Linked DNA regions of Arabidopsis thaliana. The protein of the gene in region 1 purifies or fractionates together with the protein of each later gene. This does not show direct contact. Each region holds a gene or a part of one and is shown in the gene's direction. Other genes may lie near its edges.

Evidence for each region.
Region 2: the proteins of AT1G26550 (region 1) and AT4G31360 fractionate together in Arabidopsis thaliana (co-fractionation; one large-scale study listed by BioGRID). This does not show direct contact.

The regions. Positions count from the first base shown.
Region 1 is NC_003070.9:9,169,002-9,172,925, forward strand, and holds the start of AT1G26550 (FKBP-like peptidyl-prolyl cis-trans isomerase family protein), read left to right. Parts: upstream 1-2,116; 5' UTR 2,117-2,202; intron 2,203-2,788; 5' UTR 2,789-2,798; coding exon 2,799-2,931; intron 2,932-3,079; coding exon 3,080-3,189; intron 3,190-3,439; coding exon 3,440-3,582; intron 3,583-3,672; coding exon 3,673-3,715; 3' UTR 3,716-3,924. Other genes in the region: AT1G26540 (Agenet domain-containing protein), read right to left, coding at 1-63, 160-247, 329-493, 577-999, 1,354-1,794.
Region 2 is NC_003075.7:15,219,695-15,223,618, forward strand, and holds the start of AT4G31360 (selenium binding protein), read left to right. Parts: upstream 1-2,148; 5' UTR 2,149-2,250; coding exon 2,251-2,573; intron 2,574-2,982; coding exon 2,983-3,079; intron 3,080-3,216; coding exon 3,217-3,276; intron 3,277-3,535; coding exon 3,536-3,616; 3' UTR 3,617-3,924. Other genes in the region: AT4G31355 (uncharacterized protein), read right to left, coding at 3-128.

The DNA.
Region 1 (3,924 bases):
GGGATTTTTTTCCTTCAGTTTCAGCATCTTGTTGTTTCAATGGTGTGACTGTTATGACCGGGGCTGGGGTACATGTGAAACAGATTCACATTGACATTAAAGATCAGTATTAAGCGATGTAGAAACTAAACACAATGAGTTAAGGAAGATTATGTTTACCTATTGATGTTTCTTGAGGGGTTATGAGCAGATGAGTTTTGTCATTCATCACAGCATCAGCCTTGTTTTTTCCTAATTCTCTAGTGGCCTAATTTCAGGTAACGCAGATATGTTAAGCATAATCAAAGACATGGCGAAAGCAAAGGAAACTAGTGAGTGTCTAACTTACAGATACAAATTTTGCTTTAGTGGGTGTCTCGCTAATTTCCTTAGAATTCAGGAAACTTCTCAAATGCTTTGTGGCACTCGTAGGAGTCATTGACTTAGCAGCAGAACAAGAGCGCATTGGCTTCCTTTTCAAGATGGTTGGAGGAGTTTCTTTTATGGGTTTTTGCTGAAAATAGAAACAAACATAAAGCATTCATACCAATAAACCAAAACTGTCAGAATGTTGATTGAAACTAGTGTAATTGATACCTTTAGATCGTTATACCAAACTCCATCTTCCCACACCATGAAAGGCCTAAGATCTGAGTGTCTTATTGTAGATTCCTGCTGTGTAGCCTCTAATCTAACCGTGTAACGGTTCTCAGAGAGAATTTTCCTCACTTGCCCTTTATGCCATCCCAAACCAGAAAACGTCTCTACAGATTCCAACAATGCATACTTGTCAACTGAAGAAGGAGGCGGTATGGGTCTAACACGGCGCGAATTAACAATGTTGGTTGGTCTCGCCTCATCACCATTGCAGCTCAGGTACCTATTACAGTCCTTGACAATGAATTTCTTCTTATCATCCACATCAGTCTCTTTGACTACCATTGCAGGGGACCACACAGCTTCTTTGGCAGAAAACACTTCCACCATTGTCCCGGGGCTAAACATGGACTTATTCGATTCCTTCAAAGACAACAAATTAAAGTCTACTTTTAAGCATTCACAACCAAAACTAAACCTTTAATAATTTTAATCATAGCATATAACAAGAACAAAGAAAGCAACAAAATTTTGACAGCTACAAGCAAAAACAACACCGGATTTAAGAAAGGATCTCTTAACCATGGAACTATAACACTCAACAAACGAAAAATAGAGAAAAGTTTCAGCCTTTTGAAACTAAAGCTGAAACCTTTAACCATAACACGCAACCAGACTCAAAACGGATTAAAGCTTCAACCTTTTTGAAAGAGAGCAACAAAGAGACAGTTTCAAACATTCAAGCAAAGACCCACTTCGAATAAATCAACCTCATACCTCAATTTCTGGTTGGATCCAAGTCCCACCGGTCCAGATAAGATGAGTCCGCAACTGCTTTCTCTCGAACTGTATAATGTCAGGAGGCAAATCAAAATAAACCAAATAGTTGTCGTCCTCCATTTTCTTTACGACAACACCAGTCCACCACCCGTCTTTGTGGTCAGCATCCACCAGCAAACCTTCCTCCAAAACGACGTCTTTTTGTTGATTCTCCTCCGGAGGTACAGGTCTAATGAATCTCTGTTCGATGTGTTCGATTAAGGGAGACGAACCGTCCATGTCCAGCAACGTCGAGTAACGAACACGAAGCTTTCTGCGAGATGAGTTCCCTGGGTTTTCCTCTAAAACAGCTCTGAACCAAGCTCCTTCGAACCCTTCCTCTTCAGAACTGACTTCAACTACACAATCTTTCGTTATCTTCATCGTTTGCAGCTCCATCTCCGGAAAGTGAAAAATGTGGTTACTTTGTAGAAATAATCAAAACCCAGAACCCAAATAAGCAAAGAGTGAAGCAAAAAACCTCCCTTTTGTAAAACCCTAAAATTTCACTCTGATACTGAAAGACAGCTAGCTCTACAAATGAAAAGCAGAGACAGACATTTACGAAAATAGGAAAAATATTTATTTTCTTTTTGGCGCGATTAAATTTACGAAAAATAGAAAATATTTGATAAGAAGAGTATCTTATTGGGCCTAATAGCCCAACCATGAATGGCCAAGCCCATATTAATGAATGGGTTTAATGTTCCATCTCTAATCCCCACAAGACTTTTCAGCAAACAAATCTCTCTTTCTCTCTCTCACTCTCTGCTCGATCGTTCAATCTGATAGAAGAAGAATCTCAAGGTAAAGTTCTCGACTTTGTAAATTTCTTGGCTTCTCAATCAAATATTTCATTCCACTTTTAATAGTAACCTTTTGTGTTTTCTCCGATTGGTTTTGTAAACTGTTGGTCAATTCTCTGATTTTTAGGCTAGAAATTGAAAACTGGGGTTTATGTTATTTGCGCTAAATCTTCCGTCTAGATAATTGTTTTTCCATTTGCGATGTTATCTTGTGCATGGACGCACCGGTTCTATATTGGGCTCTTTGCGTTTCGATTGTCCAAATGTTAAATTACTCATTTTTTAATCTGTAATCTTGTTTTGTGTTTTGATCATTCTGAATTTGATGGATCTTAGCTTACTAAGTGTTTGATTAAATTCCCCAAAAGTTTCGGGTTGAAGCATTTTTTTAAGTTTACAAATTTGTATATCTGCTTCCAGTGTAGTAGATTCCAAGTCACTTGCATTTGGCTTTAAATCTGCATTGAAAAGTTCACTGGATTTATTTCAGGGTTTAGGGTTTACAAGATGTGTGTGGTGATGTTAAAAGTTAAAACCCTGTAATCTGATGGTGATAATAAAGTTTTAATCGTGGTTGTTTTTTATAGTTTTAATTCGATGGGGAAGGACGCAAAAGCTGGTGGGAAGGGTAAAGGAAAGCAAGCAAGTGGTAGTGAAGAAGCTCCCTCCAAGGGTAAAGGAAAAGCAGGAAAAGCTGCAGATGGTCTTGGGACATGCACTTATGTTAAAGGTGTGTTTTTTGGATTCGTTTCTGTGCCTGTTACCTTTGTTCATGAGTAAAAAATACTGGTAAACAAATATGGATCCAAAAGTTCTCTTACAACTTTTGTATTAGTACAATAGCATTAAAGTCAAATCTCCAATTGTTTTTGTTTCAGCAAGACATGTTTTGTGCGAGAAGCAAGGAAAGATCAACGAGGCCTACAAAAAGTTGCAGGATGGTTGGTTGAGCAACGGAGACAAGGTTCCTCCTGCTGAGTTTGCAAAGGTGAATATCCTTCTTCTTTTTTGTCTATGAGATCAAAACATCAATCTAAGATAGTTCAGATAGTATTGTTTATTCCATCTCTAACTGTGATATGTACGTAACCGCTTATAGAAAACCCACATTCAATACCTCATAGTTCATTGCTTTCCCGACATCTACAAGTTTCAGTTTTCGGTTAGATATATTTCGATAGATGTGTGTTATGAATTGTGGAGAATCTTAACACGATTTGTGTGTGGAACGATCTCAGATTGCAGCAGAGTACTCTGAGTGTCCATCAGGGAAAAAAGGAGGAGATCTTGGATGGTTCCCTCGAGGAAAGATGGCAGGTCCATTCCAAGATGTCGCCTTTAATACACCTGTTGGAGTCACCAGTGCACCCTTCAAATCAACGTATGTCCAAATCCGATCTCTTCTTTCTTCTCTTCTATCTGAATTTATCTTTATTAGTGGATGATGAATGTAATTGCGTGGTAATTGCAGGCACGGATACCACATTATTTTATCAGAGGGAAGGAAGAACTGACAGATACATCTCTGCTCTGCTACTTTTATGGAAGTTGCTACTGTAACCTTAAAAAAAACACAGCCTTTGTTGTTTTGGCCAAATTGTTAAAAAAACTTGTCTCGTTTTGAATAATGAATGCGTAACGGCCATAATATATGCCGGGTGTTGATTTCTGAAGTCTGAATATTGAGACACCATCTCTATTATAAGCTCGTCGCTTGGTTTCT
Region 2 (3,924 bases), on another chromosome or scaffold:
TCTTAAGACAGAGACTTGAGGTTCGAAGTAACCAATCCTTTAGACAAAAGATTGGATTGGGTTATGTTTGGTGCACGGAAAATGGTACCCACGGCTTCAAACTTAGTCTGAGACTTGAGATTCGACATTGATCCTTCTTGGTACACACGGCTTGAAAATCACTAGACAAATGGATCATGTTCAGTTTCTTGTTTCAATCTTTAGATAAAGAAACACTCACGGCTTAAAACATTATAAGTCATTAGACAGAGACTTATAATTTTAAACAATGGAAATTTGGATAATAAACTTACAAGACGATGTTAAACTAACCGGATTTTGGATCCCATCATTGATCGTTAGCGATTCCAAAAATTCAGCTTGTCTTCCCATCGTTAAGTAGATTTATAATACAAGTTTCTGTTGATCCTTCTTGGTACCCTCGACTTGAAACTCACTACACATATGGATCATGTTCGGTGTCTTGTTTCAATCTTTAGACAAAAGAATACCCACGGCTTAAAACATTATGTCTTTAGACAGAGACTCGAGGTTCGAAAGTAACCAATCTTTTGTCAAAAAGATTGGATTTGGTTATGTTTGGTGCAAGGAAAATGGTACCCACGGCTTTAAACTTTAGTCTTTCGAGTGAACTGAAACTTGAGATTCCAACATTGATTCTTTTGGTACCCACGGCTTGAATATCTTTAGACATATGGATCATGTTCGGTCTCTTGTGTCAGTCTTTAGACAAAGATCAAGTTACCCACGGCTTAAAATAGTCAGAGACTTGAGGTTCGAAGTAACCAATCCTTTAGACAAAAGATTGGATTGGATTGGCTTATGTTTTGGTTGATGAAAAATGGTACCCACGACTTCAAACTTTAGATTGAGACTTGAGATTAGAACATTGATCCTTCTTTGGTACCCACAGTTCAAAAATCTCTAGACATATGGATCATGTTCGGTTTCTTGTTTCAGTGTTTAGACAGAGTTGGATAATAATGGACGATGTTGGGTTATGTTTGGATAATAAATTTACAAGACCAGATTTTAAACAATGGAAATTTGGATAATAAATTTACAAGACGATGTTGAATAACCGGTTTTGGATCCCGTCATTGATAGTTAGCGATTCCACAAATTCAACTTGTTTTTACATCGTTATGTAGATTTAGAATACAAGTTTGTGTTGAAAAAAAATATATACAAGTTTCTTATTTTTTTAGAAAAGATTCCCAAATTTTTCCATACGTTTAGCATGCTACCAACCTTGTAAGAGGGTTCGTCGTTGTGTGAGATTAGTGTAATTTGTTATGGGATCAGGATCAACCAATCAAGATTTCACCAACTTGCTAATATGTGAAAGACAGACAAATAGAGTAACAGTGAAGACTGAAGATGATGGTTGTGATGTGATGAACAAGTTCTAAAATATTTAGGTCCAAAAGATCTTCCCATGGAGCTTGGTTGTGAAAGTGCTAACTGAGATTTCTCCAACATGCACACATTGTTGCAAAAGCTTCCCCCTGCATTTTATTATACAAACAAACAAACAAAAATGTCACCATAATGGATGAATGTTTGTTCACCATGAGTATGCGACTTATTAACATATTACATTTTAGCATTACTACATCCAAATACTTCAACTATCATCATATATTGGAAATTTGGATTGATGGCTTGAGTCATAAAAACCTACAAAAGGATTGGACGATACTTTTAGTAAAATCTCTTAAAATTGTCCGCAGTGACCAAAATGCTAAAAAGCTAGAAGGATATACAGACTTTTATCTTACTTTATGTATCAGAAAATCAATATTTCTTAATAAATATGATAAAGTGTTTCAGTTTATTTTGAGTTTAGAAAAAGCCAAATGAATTGGAATCAAAATAATGTAGGTAAAAAAGAGAAGTGGAATTAAAATAAAATCATTCTATCCAATCAAAACGGTAAGTAGTTGTGCGTTTTAGAGGCAAAACACCACAGCGTTTCGAAGCACGTGGATGTGTCGTGTGATACAGCAGTAGCGCACTATTGGGCATTGAGAATACATAATCATAACCCCTGCAATCTAACGGTCAACCTTTTAATAACCCTTGTAGGTTAAATCTCTACCGTTTATTCGAATTACTTTTCCAAGGTAAGAAAAAAGCAAACACAAAAGGGAATATCAAACAACAAAAAAGTAAGAAAGAGCGGTAAGACAGAGACGGAGAAGAAGGAGAAGAAGATTGTTAAGACGAAACCCTGTTGCTGTCCGTACAATGCCGCCGAAGAAGAGTAAGGCAGATGGAGAAGAAAAGGCGAAACCTTTAACGACGTTGGCGTCGTCTAGAGTGACTCGGAGCATGGACAGTCGAACTCGAAGTCAGACTCAACAAAACGGTGCTAAAGCGGCTGGATCCGCCACTAAGCCGGCGACGAAGAAGGCTAAGAGGAAGAATTCAGCGATTGAGACTGGGAGAGCCAAGAAGGGAAAGAAGGAAGAGGAAGTTGAAGAGCCAGAGGAAGCCGTTGAGGAGGAGGTTGAGAAGGAAGAGCCAGAGGTTGAGGACCCTACGAGAACCAAGATTGTTATAGAACACTGGTAATTTTTGCGTAAATGTTTTCGATTTCTTTAGAGATAATGTTTGGAATCATAAGAGCAAAAATTTAGGTTTTTTTCTTTGAAATTGAATCTAAAAGCCTACAACTTTGGGGTATGTGTTGAGACTTGTGTGTCCGTGTGTAGCAGCTAAGGTTTATTTGCTAGGGTGGAACAATGTGTTAGGTTTTCATCTTGATTCTGCATAAGTTTTTGGTTTGAGTGATTAGTGGTTTATGTTTTGCTCGCATTTGTGAAGAGGACTTGACTATCTGCTTTCTGTTTGTGTTCTTGTCTTGCTTTAGCTGAATTGCAATGCGTAATGGACGTGTTCATTCTATAAATGGAATTTGCTTCTATACTTATGTCTCACAAGAGTTCTTTTTTGTTTTGTTTTGTGATGTTATTGAAGTAAACAATGCAATGCTTTCAAGACAAGAGCTATTCAGGTGAAGGAAGCTTTGGAGGGAGCTGTTCCTGGCGTCACGGTGTCTCTTAATCCTGAAAAGGTAATGCTTTTACTGCAGATGAATATATCGTCATGAATGCTCCGTTTTGACTAATGCGTTAGAGCATACTTTTCACATTATACTTGATAAGATTTTCTTCTAAATTACTAATTCTTTCTTTTGATGTGCTTGAACAGCCAAGGCGGGGTTGCTTTGAGATCCGGGAGGAAGGTGGCCAAACATTCATCAGTCTTTTGGTAAAAACTTTCATTCTAATAAAAACAAATCTCAATTTGTCTCGCTTCTGCATATGATTTGTTCAGTTTGAGTAAGGTTTATTGTTATTACTAATTCTCATAACACCACTTGCTCTATATGCATATGAGAATGAAAATCAACTTGATCCTTATTCATTACGAGAAATGTGTTATTGTGAGTAGAAATCATGAATATGTTTTTGCCTTTCAATCTTAACATAGACCTAAAGATGTAGATTATGTTTATCTCATTTTGTAGGAGATGAAACGTCCATTTGCACCAATGAAGGCACTTGATATGGAAGAAGTCATCGAGGACATCATAAAGAAAGTCAAATGAATCTGTTCTTTGTTTCTGCCTCGGTCTCAGTTTAATCAATTAGGTTTCTGCAGAAGACTTTCTAGAGTAATGTCAGATTTGTTAGGTTCACTTTTATTGTTTCGGTATGAGCACTGTAAGTGCAGTCTCGTCGTTTGGCAATGCATGATTAGTTGATAGAGAAGGATCTCTGTAGTTTTTGGGGTTAACTCGTATTTGTAAGGCTAGTTTATTATTCATCTCGTTGCTTGAAGCAAACCGATGCATAAGTGTTTTTTGTTGTTGGGACCATGCATGGTTCTAACAATCTATGCACTGGTTAAAGCATG